Arabidopsis thaliana: one gene and its partners. The protein of the gene in region 3 interacts with the protein of the main gene of each other region in a pairwise test. Each region holds a gene or a part of one and is shown on either strand. Other genes may lie near its edges. The genes, in order: DiT1, AT3G62400 and ERDL6.

Region 1 (5,100 bases), on a different chromosome or scaffold from region 3:
GAACATGAATGGTGCAAGGCCATTGACTCAAGGTGGTTCGAGTGTGAATCCTCACAACAGTGACACTCGTGAGAGCGACATTCTTGATGCGTGGCTTGAACAGCTGCACCTAGATCGCTGAGCCTCAGCTGCGAGAGAGAGGTTCACATTTCTGTGAAGCTGTGAAACTGATGATTCGTTTATTTATTATTCAAGAAAGCAAACGGAAACAAAAGCAAACTCCGGGTAAGCTTTTTTCGATTCTAATAACCCTAAAAGGCTCAGTTTTTTCAGGCTTCTTTCTGAAATTTCTTTACTTTCTTATTTTTATCACCTCATTAAATTAATTATTGTATCATCTCTGTTGTAACAATGGCCAAAGTGCGCCTCTATTACTTCCCGGATTTCTGATTTACATTTTTTGTATCCTCTCAGTTTGTCAATTGTTTCTAATATCTCCTTCATATTTGTCAAAGAACACTGTATGAGAAATAATAACATATTGTTTCAGCTAATAAGATTCATTCATTTCCTATTGCTTTCTCTGCTTTCCTGTTTTTTCCACTAAACTTTAACCAGCGATTCATAGACTAATAGACATTAATCTCTCAACTAACACGTTTATGGAAGTCGAGTAACTATCAAGTAAAGTGGTGGTCTCACTTTGAAACAGTAAAGTTAGAAATCAAACAAAATTGACGCAAGTTAAGATTGCTTACACTTCAAAATGTGTGTGAGTGAGAATAAAAATTGCAGAAAAACTCTGCTCAATCCTTATAACCCTGATTTCAATCCTTCTCAAATCTGAATCTCAAAGCCGTTCTAAGAGATTATATATATAAGTAAGGAAAAGAATGGGAAGATTGGTGTATGGTGGTCCTCACCACAAGCCAATGAACTTCCACCAGGCACCACCTACACCAAGCCAGATGAGAATGTTGACTATTGAAATCAGGAATCCATAGCCCCACCATTTAGCCAGCGGCACGTAGTTAGCTCCGTAGAAGATAGGCGCAGACCCGATACCATAATGGGTCAATCCTCCCATCAGGTTGGAAAGGAACGCAAGAACCAAGGCTGCAAAGTAAGGTGGAGTGCCTAGAGCGGTTGAAACCGATAAAAAGGCAGTGAACATAGCACCAATGTGGGCAGCTCCACTAGCAAAGAAGTAGTGAGTGTAGAAATACAAGAGGACGAGGATTCCAAAAGATAGCTGCCATGACAAACCCAATCCTCCCACAAACTGCAATCAAAACCCAAACAATGTCAAAACATTTCATTAGCATGCTAAGTCATTAGGCTTATTAAGCATTCATCAAATCATTTAACAAACCTTGACTACGGTCTGGCTGAACCACTCAATGAGACCATATTTGTTAAGATAACCAGCCATCGCAATGAGAGCAGCGAACCAGGTGAGTGTGTCCCATGCGACCGACTCAGCTAAGCACTCTTTCCATGTCACAACACCTGTCACAAGAAGGACTGATAATCCAAGAATGGCTGCAGTCACAGCATCTACACCCAACTTAGCTCCAAAGATCCAGAGACCAACCTGTGTCAAGGAGAACACTTTTTTAGAAAAGGAAAACCTTCTCTGTAATAAAACACCAAAACCACAAACATTTTCACTCAAAGCAAATGCATTAAACAGAAGCAAAGCCCTAGCTTAATCTAAGGAGCTACAATAGCTAAAATCTCTCAATGTTCAATACTGAAGCACCTTTCAAATCAAGCTCTCACCATAAGTAAGAACAGATCCGATGAAGCAGAAGCACACTTACCGTGAGGAATAAAGTGGCAGCCATAATCAATTCGTTCTTAGACATAGGTCCCATCTTGTCAAGCTTTTCCTGAGCCAGCTTAGGAGCATCAGGACTGCTCTTCACCGTAGGAGGATAGATGAGATACAAAAGAAACGGAACAACAATCAAAGACACAAGTCCTGGTACAATCGCAGCTTTAGCCCAATCAGTCCATCCAATCGTCTGCTTAATCGTGTTAAACGCCAAATTAGCACTCAAAGGATTCGCAGCCATAGCCGTCAAGAACATAGAAGAAGAGATCACAGAAGTCTGGAAACAAGTAAGCATCAACCACGAGCCAAGACGGTGCTCTGTTCCATCCCCAACGTTACTCCCACAAGCAACACAGAGAGATTTCACCAACGGGAGAAAGATTCCACCGGCACGAGCCGAGACAGAAGGAATCGCCGGAGCTAAAAGAGCTTCACTGAAGACGAGACTGTAACCGAGACCAAGGGAGGAGCTACCGAAGAGTCTAACGAACTGGTAAGCTACACGGTTACCGAGACCGGTTTTGATGAAACCGCGAGCGAAGAAGAAGGCAAGAGCGATGAGCCACGGGATTGGATCTCCGAAAGCGGAGAACGCGGCGGCGAACGTTAGGGTTTTGGTGAGAACGGAAGCTCCTAATCCCATTAGAGCAACAGCACCGAGAGGAAGCGGCTGAGTGATGATCCCGACGATGGTGGCGAGGAAGATCGCGAGTAATTGCCACGCGTTGCGAGTGACACCTTCGGGGACTGGAACGAACCATAGAATCAAACCAGTAGCGATCGAAGCGAGAAGAGGCTTAATGGCAGCTCCTTGCCATGGAACCGGAGCTGGAACCAAAGGAGGAGTTGGAGAAGAGGAAGCTGAAGCGACGGTGGAAGAGGCTTTAACGAGAGTTGATGATCTCCGGCGTAAAGAGACGGGAAGTGGAGATTTGAGTAAGGAGAAGCGAGAATCGAGAGATCGGAGAGGTTTCGTCAAATTGAGAGAGGAAGAAGGAGGACGAGGGAGAGAGAGAGATCGAGATTTGAGAGGGAAAGCGAGAGAGCAGGAGCCGGAGAGAGCGAGAGACGCCATGGTTGTAGCGTCGTCGGCGAGAGAGAGGTGTGAAGAGGAGAGGGAAGTGAAGAAGGAAATGAGTAAGAAGAGGAAAGAGAGAGTTGGATAAATGTTGACCGTTGGATTGGAATCGGACGGTGAGATTAAGAAAAGGAATATACGGACAAGAGTGAGAGAGAGTGATGATGAGATGAGATCGTGAGGTGAGAAATAGAGATCTCCGTCTTTGGTGGGTCAGTCACCTCATCCTATTGGCTGAAATATTTACGAAAAGCCATTTTGGGTTTGGGTTTGGTCTTTTTAGATCGACGAAACATACAAAGCAAAATCCTTCACTCAACAAATTTTCTATTGATTTATTAGCTTTGTTTTTTGGTTTTGAAAGATCTTAAACTATGCGTTTACTAGTGGATCGTCCAATGAAAGATTAACTGGCAATAGAATAGTAGCTTTCATTACATTGTCCAAGATGGGCCGAGATGGCTTCGCTTGGAATTAAATCTAGTGTAAACCCTTAAGCGGCCTCTCGTTTTTTTTTCTTTGAGTGTTATATGGTTCATAGTTTTGATTTGTTTGTTTAGAGTAAGGTGTGACATCAAATATTGAATACATGATTCTTTTATGTAAGAGGATACTTTCTAATGTGAATGTCTAAGAAAGTTACCAAATGTTTTAAAGTACATTCAATAAAACAAAATGTTCAGTTTTATCCAAAGATATAACATCAGAAAAACTTTCATTTAATTAGTTCAATCTTCTCCATTGCTACTTGATTACAAAATTCTTCAAGTGTTTGCCCCTGTTATATTAAAGAATGTATGTGCTTATTATTTCTTTTATTTATTTATTATAGGATATATGTTTTACATTGACTAATCATTACATGGCACCTCAAGGCTCAAGCCCTAGTACGAAAAGATTATTCGAAATACAAAATACTCTCTAACAATGTATATATATTTGCATTTATGTGTGTGTGGCTAAGAATCTTGAGTATAAACCGCAATAGAAAAAAGAATAAGATGACGTAAAAATATTCATATGCTTTGTTTGAAGTTGAAGTAAAACGAAGGAACCTCAGTGTTCATCAACTGGTCAAGGTCCCAAAATTCTTCCACTGGTCTCATACCCTCAGGTGCGTTTCCGGATCCATTAGTGTTCAACTCGTCTAAGTGGTTGTTTATATTTGCATTGTACCAATCACCTTCTTCACATTCCAAAGGTGGGAAGTAGAGTTCCCCTTGTACCCCTGCGTTTACTCCATAGATACCATCTACATAAGGGGTAAAATCGTCATTGCACGGGTGGCTGATCATGTTTCCCGTTGGAAATGGATTGTTGGTTTGTATGTGGGTCAAGGAAGGGTTGACGAAGCCTTGTTCTTGTAAGGACATGAAGCTTCCTATAATGTCTTTAATATCCAAAGAAGATGCGGAATTAGAAGAGGAATCGCTTGCTGTGTTGGGTGATGAGGATGAGTTGTTGATTAAGTTGGAGGTATCGGACATCTTCTTTAGCCTTTTCTTTATTGTTGAGTTCCAGAAATTCTTGATCTCGTTATCGGTCCGACCAGGCAATCGTGCTGCAATCTGAGACCACCTATGAAATCGAAGAATAAGAGAGTAGAATAGTTTAATGAGATGATGTTATGTAAAATGTATACCAGTGCATGGTTTGCATGGGAATTAGAGAGTGATCCGTTCTTCATGTTTTTTATGTTTGAGTACGTGAAAAAGAGGCAATATATCAACAATTATAAAATTGCACAATCATATTAAGCAATAAAATGACATTATACACACTGCGTGTTTTGAATTGAATCTATATATATATATATATATATATATATATATATATATATATATATAAATAGAGAGGAAACATGTCCTGCGTAAAAAACACTAGAACGTATATTTCTGGAGAAAGTGACAAAAAAAGGAACTAATAAATATATAATTACAAAGATGAAAGTTGAAGTAAAACCCTAAGGAAGAGAAGAAAAGGTGTGTAAAGTGACAAAAGCCGCTTTCACTAAAATAAGTGTTTGTTGTTAGATAAGATCATAAGACGCACTCTAAGTCTTAAAACCCACGATCAACGAACTTTGACCACTCACATAATTACATGTGAATGTACTCATACCTATTTTGGTTTTATGCGTCTATTTCCATTCTTACTACTATTATTCTAATTCAACTTTCTTTTGGGTCAATTTTCTTCGTACACAATCATTCTTCCCTTTGAATTTAAACAGTTACTAATCGTA
Region 2 (3,439 bases), on a different chromosome or scaffold from region 3:
TCAGTTGTCGTAAGTACGGCACTCGTTGGTCTCAGGATTGTCTTTGCAGTATTCCTCCAAAGGGTCCGAACCATCAGCCTTCTTCTTGTCTCTAGCATGGCTAGCTGCTGCGCTAAGTTCTTCAACCTCGTCCCACGCAGCTACACACTCTCCACTCACAGGATCGCCCGCACAAGTCTCCTGAGCTTCCTTAATGCTTTTCTCCACTACGTCCGATATCCCTCCTTCCGGTGCTGCTTTAATCGGCTGAAGTTTCATCATCCGGTTAGTTGTTCTTGACCCAAGATTCCACGAATTGTTCAAATGGACCGGACCGGCGAGACAAACTGGCCGATTCTCGCTGGTGACGAAGACACGCTGGGTTGCAATGTTAAGACCAGTAGCTATAGTTGCCATCTTTGGATGGAGAAGGTACACGGCAGCCTGTGAATATAGTTTTTGATAAAAGAAGATAGTTCAGATAATTGGGAGGGAACAAGATATATGAAGTGTGCGTGAATTTAATTCTGTGAACCCCATTTCTTATCCTCTATTAACCAACAATTAAGTTCCACGTATTTGATATCGTTTATGAAGCAGTACGATGTTGAAAATTTGCAGCCATCCAAGCCGTTTTCTAAGATACAAGTGCCTGTTGCGTATTTTATCCAAAAAAGATGAGAAAAAATAAGCTGGTAAGTATAATAAAATGATCACACACTGTTTAAGGAAAAGTCAAGACAGATGTCTCAAGTTTCAACCACTGTATCTCCGGAAAACAATGTGTTAACAAATATCCAATTTTGATGTCTGAGTGGTTGTTTATTTCTCAAGCAACCAACTTTCTTAGGTAACTTATCTGAGATCTCAAGAAACCATAAAAACAGAAAAATCGAGCCAACAACATTGAGAGTGAGAGAGAGGCATTCCCATTCACTCTTCAGAGGCGACAACACCGATCTCACCTCTCTCAAGCAAATCATAGAAAGTTCTAGTTTTCCTCTGCTCATTCCAATGGTGCATCTTCCAGAGACCACCAGCAGCTAAACCAAGCGTCAAACCAATAATCAATTCCTTGACAACACTCGGGCCTTTCAATGTGGCATGCGCAACCTTGTGTCCTGCCATTTCTTCTCAACCTAGCACACATTTTAATCATAGAGTCAATACTAACATAATTGATACTTTCACAATGCTCACGATTCCTAAAGCTGAAAACTTTATTGACAACCAATAAAACATCTATACACACACACACACTAATCTACCTGATCTCTTAATTTCTACTGGTTTGCACTTGGAGTCTATATATACACATAAACATGTACAATTTCGATCCATTTTCTGTCTAACCTCTTAACTACGTCTCTATTCAAAGGAAGATATCAAAGGCTTTGAATTTATTCCCAAAATGATACAAGAACCCTAATCCACAGGATCCAGATACTGAAAATAAAATTGGCATTTCTCCCGAAGAAAAGGATTAACGTTTCAAAGCATCACAACACTAAGAGCATCAAATCTAAATCAACGGAAGATTTAAACGAGAAATTCCGATCTTAAGCACACCGATCTACACGGGAAAAAAAACGAGAAATGGATTCGAATCTGATAAAAATTAATCGTAACTTCACAATCCGCCACCTATCTATAACGAAAATCACCACAAAATCATAAAGGAAACAACAATTATCATCAAGGGAAGAATATGGACTTTACCGAGTCAGATTGTGTAGATGAACGAGACAGAAGCTCACGACGAAAACGAAATGGTGGGTGATTGAAGAAGTTGCGTAAGCAGATAATCACTTCTCTACTCCATTTGTGTCTTATTGGGCCTTAAACATGGGCCTGATCTCTTATTTCTTCAATGGGCATTTTATGGAATTTGCTTTTTAAAAAAGTAAACCATTCGCTGCTCGTGTTCCCCGAGTGTGTCCCACCACGTTAATAATGCCAAATCCAATCTGTCAACACACTAAACTAATTTCCTAATCCTGAACTTTTTTAAATAATCATTATCTTTCCCTCTGTTCCGTTAATTATTGTAAAATTCATGAGCTCACGAGTTTGTAAGAACGTCATTATCATTTCTTCACCGAATCTCTCCTCTATACCCCACTAATTCAACCACCTTTGTCGACTCCAAAATTTCAATCCTTTTCTCAAACAGTTCCATTTTTCGATTTCAAATTTCTCTGATTACAGATAATTATGAAACTGTTTTTTCTTAACTAACTTATAACAGTTACAGAGAAAAAATAAATAAAGAGATAGAAGATGGAGAGACAAAGAAGTTTCTCTGTGAAGTCCACAAGAGTCTTAGCATTCATCATCACAATAATCTCTTCCGCCATTGTTTTCTTCACTTTCTTCTCCTCTTCCTTACTCAAATCTAACTCTTCTCTTTACCCAACACCAGAAGCTAACTTCCAGATCGATTTAAGCCCTATTGCCGCCATTTCCGATTCTTCAGTTTCTCCTCAAGCAAGTCCGATTCTGATCTCTACCCATTTCAATTCACCCGAAAACACTTCCGGGTCTTCAAAAATTTCTGTTTTTGAGCAGAAGATTAGCGGCGAGAGTTTGGTTAAGGAAGTTAGGGAAATTGCTAATTTAACTTCGATTAAAGTGATTGAACTTCCGAGCAACAATGGTGAAGATAAGAAGACAGAGAAGAGAATCGAAGAATGTGATGTTACGAAAGGGAAGTGGGTTTACGATAGTGATTATCCATTGTACACAAATGCGTCTTGTCCTTTTATCGATGAAGGATTTGGTTGTCAAAGCAATGGAAGATTGGATCTTAATTACATGAATTGGAGATGGGAGCCTCAGGATTGTCATGCTCCCAGGTTTAATTTCTTCTTTCTAATTTTGTTGTTTTCCTCGTAGGCCTTTAAGAAGATCTCTCTATTGAAGTAGTAGTGGTTGGTGATAGTGACTGATGATGATAAGTGGGATTCATAGTTCCACTGAGCACTTAATCTCTCTGAATAAGTAGGAATGCAATTCATGGTCCTGAATTGGAAATTGTGGTATGTGTGAGTTTAGGTTCAATGCTACAAAGATGCTGGAAATGATTAGAGGCAAGAGGCTAGTGTTCGTTGGAGATTCAATTAATAGGAACCAATGGGAATCTATGCTTTGTTTGTTGTTTCAAGCTGTTAAAGATCCCAAGAGAGTATACGAAACGCACAACCGAAGAATCACCAAAGAGAAAGGGAATTATAGCTTCCGTTTCGTGGTACAATATGACTTTAATCTTAATGGACCATTAAGTGTATTTCAGGCGTGTGGTTGTGTTAATGTCATGTTTGTGTACTTGACTAGGATTATAAATGCACTGTGGAATTCTATGTTACTCATTTCTTGGTTCGTGAGGGTAGAGCAAGAATAGGAAAGAAGCGAAGAGAAACACTTAGAATCGATGCTATGGATCGAACCTCTTCCAGATGGA
Region 3 (6,397 bases):
CTCGGCACGGTTACAGTGCGTGACTGTGATAATTTACTCTTCGTTGCCGGTTTCGTCGTCGTCATCTGAGAAAGGTTATGCTCCGGATTGAATCCGTCGGAAGCGTCGTCGTCGGGTGAAAGTTTTCTGATTTTTCGAGGACGGAGAGGGATCTTGGTAGGTGGAGACGATACATTGCCTAATTCAGTGACTTGTGGTGCTTCAATGGTGGTTGATGAGACGATTGAGCCAGAAACTCCGGCGGATGAGGCGGAGTCGTCATCGTTGGTTTCCGGTGGAATTGGATTAGGGGTTTCGTGATTGGGTGATTCCGGTTGGTTTGGAGGAAGAGTATGAGATGATGGTTGAGAAGGTGAATGTTCACCCATGTGAAATTGAAGATTTCGAATTGATAGAATTAGGGTTTTTGGTCGCTTCAGAGACGAAGACGAAGAGAATCGAAAACCTAATCGGAGAATTAGCCACGACCGAGTGAAGTTGCGTCTCGGGTCTTGACGTTAATTCTTCTCTAACGCGCTTTTCATGAGAGTGCCCTTCACGCTCCGACGTCCTCAATATGGGCCTATCTTAATAAGCCCAATATGGTTTTGCTTGGGTCTTTAAATTGGGCTCAATAAACCCTACAGTTATTTTATTAGAGGTCAAGAACTAGTCTTTGGGTTGTGTGAGCGAGGAAAATAGTCTTCACCAAAAAAAGAAGGAAAGAAAGTATTTGATGTATTTTTTTTCGTATAGACTAAAGATCTGATTGAGTAATGTTTATGTTTATAATAAGATCTGATGGGAGTATTTTACATGTGAAAAATGTGGAGGAAAGAAGAGACTTAATCAATTATAATTATATATGTAAAGAAGATATTATAAAGTTCAAAAAAAAGAAAAAAAAAAAAGTAGATATTGTAAAGTTGTGGTCAACGAAAGAAAAAATGAGTGATGAATGGAGACAGTAAGATCAGATCACAAAGACGTGTTTGGTGTGATTTGATTTGATTATGTGTCTTTTTCTGTGTTGGCCTCCTCTTACATTTCTCTCGTTTTGCTCATGTATTCTCCGTGGGGTAGTTTGAGCAAATGTTTGACAAACTCCATAAACATTGCAATTTATATTTATTGCAATTGGTACGAAAATTATTGATGTATAATTGACTAGTGGATAGGAAAGTTATAAATATATGATATTGATGTAAAACAAACTTACAATATTTTAAAAATTCAGCATATTCAAAAAAAAGAGAGATATGTAAGCTTTTAAAAATCAATTGACACCACACCACACAGATCAATTTTCACACACGCAAAAATACCATTATAAACTATGATTTCAGTTATAATAGTTAAAATACAATTCAAACAAATAATTTTGGATTGATCTCTTTGTGATCATGCTATAGAATCACTTAAATGACCCAAACAACTTTATATAATGTATGTTGTTTGGATTCTATACATTACTATTTTTATTGCACTTCCATTCATCATTTTTTTTCTTCTTGATTTTCTGTCTTTGTATACTTTATTTCTCTTATCTGTTAACGTGTAAGTAAGATGTGGATGTCTTATCCAAGTGGACACATTTCCATAAAATCATAAAATTATGAGATATGTTTTATTAAATATTAGCCGGTTTTGGAAGACCTCATATTCCTATGAATTTACAGAAATATTACCAAAATAATTGCATATATTTTAATAAAATTTAGAATTTTAGGAAAAAACATGCCAAGTGGTAATAAAAGAGAAAAGAATCCAAAATAAAATAAATTATCCAATTATCCCAAAAAAAAAAAAAGAAGCAAAGCTATATTTCTATTTATTTTTGTCTAAATTTGGTTGATGCGACGACTGGAACTGTGATCTAAAAAAAAATGCCTGAAGCAGTCTAAATAATTCTTCTTCTCTCCAGCAATTAAACACTACATTACAGCCGTATAGACCCAAATCCTTTTTCGTTTTTTTTTTTTTAATAAGACGGCATTTCTCTCTCAATCCGTTCTTATCCAAGCAAAGCTCCGTCATCAAATTCATTAGATCTTCCAAATTGAGTTACAAAGTCCAAAGTCGGCTCTTTTTTGGCATTTTCCGGCTTAGAATAGGCATTTTACCTCCAGGGGGGCTAAATAGTGAAGCTTTTTTGTTTGTTCTTGAAGATATAAAGAAAGATTTGTAGATTAGGATTTGAGAAACTGTAGAAGATAGAATCAAAAGATGAGTTTCAGGGATGATAATGAGGAGGCTAGGAATGATTTGCGTCGGCCGTTTATTCACACCGGAAGCTGGTACCGGATGGGTTCGAGACAATCGAGTATGATGGGTTCCTCTCAAGTTATTCGAGACAGCTCTATCTCTGTTCTTGCATGTGTTTTGATCGTTGCTCTTGGCCCTATTCAATTCGGATTCACTGTAAGACAAATTCAAAATCTCAACTTTTTTTACATTTTTATTCCCTTTGTAGAAGAAAGGTGTGACTTTTGGTGGAAAAACTAGTGTGAGCTGGATTTGATGATCTTGGGTTTGGTTTGATTTGTCATTTTCAATGCAAGTCTGGTGATTTGAAAATCTCATATTTGGTGAACCGAGATGATTTTTTCAAGTTTGCTGACAGATTTAGAGGACTTTGAATTGGGAATTTCTGATTGTTTGCTTAAACCTTCCATGTTTGACTTTGATCACCATCTTTTAGTACTCTGTGTTTGGTCCTTAAACCCTCCATCCTTTTGTTCAGTGTGGTTATTCATCTCCAACTCAAGCTGCAATCACCAAGGATCTCGGTTTAACAGTATCTGAGGTAATGGACTGATCATTGTCTAGAGCTGTCTGGTTTTTATCATTGCTTGTTTAGCCGTGTTTGACTTTGATGTACCACTCCATGTTTTAGTACTCTGTGTTTGGTTCTCTTTCCAATGTGGGTGCTATGGTTGGTGCAATTGCCAGTGGTCAGATTGCAGAATACATTGGACGAAAAGGGGTATACTTTGTTATCTGATTCTTGATCGTTCTGTTTTAGATCCATTTTATAAAGTCCTCTTTCTTGCGTTCTAAACATCTTATTGTGTTTTCTTGGACAGTCTCTTATGATTGCTGCAATTCCCAATATCATTGGATGGCTTTGCATATCATTTGCAAAAGTGAGTTTTTGTCGTTCTCATACCATAAATTGGCGATTTGATTGTGTTGCTTGACTTTAACTCTTTACATCATTCTGGTTTTGTAGGATACTTCTTTTCTTTACATGGGAAGACTTTTAGAAGGCTTTGGCGTTGGGATCATCTCTTACACTGTAATACTGAACTTAACTAGCTATTTACTTATGGAATAACGGTTCAGTATATTAATGCAACTCGGTTCGTGATTTTAGGTACCTGTATATATCGCTGAGATAGCTCCACAAAATATGAGAGGAGGATTGGGTTCGGTTAACCAGGTTAGACATGTGTAGTGACTAATTCCTGTTTTGACTTTTGTGTACTGACTCGTAATGCTAAACAAGAAATGTTGTGTAACTTCTTGCTGTAGCTTTCTGTGACAATTGGAATAATGTTGGCGTATTTACTTGGCCTCTTTGTTCCATGGAGAATTCTTGCAGTTCTGGGTAAAATCTCATTACACGGCCTGAGACTATTTTGTGATTATGAATAATTGCTACGCTCTAATCACTTTCTCTGTTCTCTTCCTTTATCTTTAGGGATATTGCCGTGTACATTATTGATACCAGGTCTCTTTTTCATCCCCGAATCCCCTCGCTGGCTGGTAAGCCTTACAGTAGTTTGCTTATTCTTCTTGAGTTTAGTGCATATTTTGGTTACTCCACTCTTTTTTTTTTTTTTAATAACATCATTAATCATCTCTGATGGGATACTTGATTTCGTTAAAATGTAGGCAAAAATGGGTATGACAGATGAATTTGAAACTTCATTACAAGTTCTTCGAGGATTTGAGACTGATATTACCGTTGAAGTTAATGAAATCAAGGTAACACTACCACTTAAAATCTTTCCTTCCAAGAGTTACATGAAGACTGGTTTTCAAACGCTAATTTTTCATCTTTTCTGCAAATCTGCAGAGATCTGTGGCATCATCTACAAAGCGAAATACAGTTCGGTTTGTAGATCTCAAACGCAGGAGATACTATTTCCCACTTATGGTACAAATATTGAATATCTTTCCTTGGAATATACTTTGTCTATCATAAGAAACATTATCTTAAAACTTCTTTTTTGTCGTGTGTGTGTGTGTAACAGGTTGGTATAGGGTTGCTTGTACTTCAACAACTTGGTGGAATTAATGGTGTCCTATTCTATTCCAGTACAATATTTGAATCTGCAGGTAGGGTTTTTCTAACACCTGAAGCTTCTTGTTTCATATTATTACTTTAATTTTTCATTTTCCGTGTTTTCATGTTTAGGAGTTACATCGAGTAACGCAGCAACATTTGGGGTCGGGGCTATTCAGGTAGTAGCGACTGCAATATCCACTTGGTTGGTGGACAAAGCAGGTCGTCGGCTTCTGCTTACTGTGAGTATTAACTCATTACTTTCATATCTTTCCGACTTCCCTCTACAGAAAGATTTAAGACATATCCAAGATTAACTAATGCAAATGGAAAATATTTTCCAGATCTCTTCGGTTGGGATGACGATTAGCCTTGTAATTGTTGCAGCTGCTTTCTATCTTAAGGTACTTTTTAAAATCTTGAACTTCCATACACATCATTTCATCTTCTGCAACAAATCCAAGATTCGACTTTCTGAGTTTTACATCTCTTCTTTTAGGAATTTGTGTCTCCTGATTCAGACATGTACAGTTGGCTGAGCATATTGTCAGTAGTTGGAGTTGTGGTAAGTTAGTTATATAGCGGAACTTTCTAGAATGCAATGAATGATTATTTGTGCCTTAACTCTGTTGAATCGTTATAGGCAATGGTTGTCTTTTTCTCATTGGGAATGGGACCAATACCGTGGCTCATTATGTCTGAGGTAATGAGTTGGTTAGAAGTTAGAACTAAGTGTTGTAAGAACCGAAAAGCGAAAAACTTATTGAACTCTACCTTTGCTTGCTTTGTTTGTTGTTTGATAAACAGATCCTTCCTGTGAACATAAAGGGTTTAGCTGGAAGTATTGCAACTCTAGCCAATTGGTTCTTTTCTTGGTTGATCACCATGACAGCAAATTTGCTGTTAGCCTGGAGCAGTGGAGGTTCCTTTCTCTCTTTCTCTTCTTTTCTCTTTCTCTCATACCATTTGGGACAATAGAGCATTATCTTGATGGATTTTTGGGTTAATATTGGACAGGAACTTTCACTCTGTATGGATTGGTTTGTGCATTCACAGTGGTGTTCGTGACTCTATGGGTTCCTGAGACCAAAGGCAAAACTCTTGAAGAACTTCAATCCTTGTTCAGATGAACAAATTGAAACAACTTCATTCTTTGTCACCCTCTCTCTCCCTCTCTGTTTTGGCCAAGAACAAGAAGAAACAAGAGATTTTCCAGCTTTGTTAATTGGGCTGAGAACGTTACTAAGATTTGTTTGTTTGTTCGTTGTGTGTCAATAATCGCATTATCTTCTATCACATGTATATCAACATACTACATTCAAGTATTTGTAATTTTATTGAACTCTTTACATAGAGCAAAGGTTTTGCCAAGAGAGAGCATTATGAACATCGACATTGCCAGAAAAGCTCCCAAGGGTTTTAATATGATGATCAAGAAATTTAACTCAACAGCAAGAAAAAGCAAACCCACTGGTAAGAAGTTGCTAGCCCAGCAGTAACTGAGGTTACTAGGAAACAAAACTTGGGGGATAGTAGAGATTTGGTCCAAATATGATCAATCAATATGAAGTTTTGTAAACACTGAAATGCCTCTTTAAGGAATATCATCGACATTCAATACAAATTTCCAAAAGATAACATGTCACTAGAGTCGCAAGCTTGTACCAAGTGAAATTGAAATGCAAATAGGCAAGAGAAACTAAGAAATGTTTATAGACACTAAGAATAAGTACCAAACCAGACCATTACTGGATTTACTCTCTCACTGCTATAGAGGTCATTGGGCTGAATCACAGAGGAAGAAGGTGAAATTCATGGGACATGAAGTCTTCACTGGGTCTGTAATACTTGTCTGGTGAGTACAAGCGTAGGTTTGAGACTTGGCTTGTGTACAGGCATGCGAATCTTTCCACCTGATGATTCGAAGATAATGCAGTTTGGAAAAAGTTATTCCCCACAATCGCAAAACACCACATAAGAAAGCAAAATATAAACCGTATTTACCTGATGAGCAAATCGAGAACTCTGGTAGCCAGTTTTCATCAGTTGCCCCCAGACCTTGTGAAACTGCAGTTTCCACGGCCCACATAACATGAGAAGTCGTAACAGATTGAAACTGAAACTAGC

What was found.
Region 1: the proteins of ERDL6 (region 3) and DiT1 interact in a protein complementation assay, tested with the Arabidopsis thaliana proteins (one large-scale study listed by BioGRID).
Region 2: the proteins of ERDL6 (region 3) and AT3G62400 interact in a protein complementation assay, tested with the Arabidopsis thaliana proteins (one large-scale study listed by BioGRID).

The regions. Positions count from the first base shown.
Region 1 is NC_003076.8:4,059,068-4,064,167, forward strand, and holds DiT1 (dicarboxylate transporter 1), read right to left. Parts: upstream 3,223-5,100; 5' UTR 2,853-3,222; coding exon 1,764-2,852; intron 1,535-1,763; coding exon 1,313-1,534; intron 1,223-1,312; coding exon 860-1,222; 3' UTR 784-859; coding exon of another isoform or gene 783-783; 3' UTR 512-782; downstream 1-511. Other genes in the region: AT5G12850 (CCCH-type zinc finger protein with ARM repeat domain-containing protein), read left to right, coding at 1-121; MYB46 (myb domain protein 46), read right to left, coding at 3,872-4,433. UniProt on the Arabidopsis thaliana protein: 2-oxoglutarate/malate translocator involved with DIT2-1 in primary ammonia assimilation and in the re-assimilation of ammonia generated by the photorespiratory pathway.
Region 2 is NC_003074.8:23,087,963-23,091,401, reverse strand, and holds AT3G62400 (cytochrome C oxidase subunit), read right to left. Parts: upstream 1,807-3,439; 5' UTR 1,699-1,806; intron 1,119-1,698; 5' UTR 1,108-1,118; coding exon of another isoform or gene 990-1,107; coding exon 729-989; 3' UTR 581-728; downstream 1-580. Other genes in the region: CP12-2 (CP12 domain-containing protein 2), read right to left, coding at 1-396; TBL6 (TRICHOME BIREFRINGENCE-LIKE 6), read left to right, coding at 2,260-2,834, 3,034-3,226, 3,313-3,439. UniProt on the Arabidopsis thaliana protein: This protein is one of the nuclear-coded polypeptide chains of cytochrome c oxidase, the terminal oxidase in mitochondrial electron transport.
Region 3 is NC_003070.9:28,228,415-28,234,811, reverse strand, and holds ERDL6 (Major facilitator superfamily protein), read left to right. Parts: upstream 1-1,677; 5' UTR 1,678-2,205; coding exon 2,206-2,400; intron 2,401-2,722; coding exon 2,723-2,785; intron 2,786-2,875; coding exon 2,876-2,965; intron 2,966-3,065; coding exon 3,066-3,125; intron 3,126-3,211; coding exon 3,212-3,277; intron 3,278-3,355; coding exon 3,356-3,421; intron 3,422-3,513; coding exon 3,514-3,589; intron 3,590-3,682; coding exon 3,683-3,747; intron 3,748-3,876; coding exon 3,877-3,969; intron 3,970-4,060; coding exon 4,061-4,141; intron 4,142-4,238; coding exon 4,239-4,323; intron 4,324-4,402; coding exon 4,403-4,512; intron 4,513-4,614; coding exon 4,615-4,674; intron 4,675-4,769; coding exon 4,770-4,835; intron 4,836-4,913; coding exon 4,914-4,973; intron 4,974-5,077; coding exon 5,078-5,192; intron 5,193-5,287; coding exon 5,288-5,400; 3' UTR 5,401-5,786; downstream 5,787-6,397. Other genes in the region: AT1G75230 (DNA glycosylase superfamily protein), read right to left, coding at 1-368; AT1G75210 (HAD-superfamily hydrolase, subfamily IG, 5'-nucleotidase), read right to left, coding at 6,061-6,183, 6,275-6,337. UniProt on the Arabidopsis thaliana protein: Sugar transporter.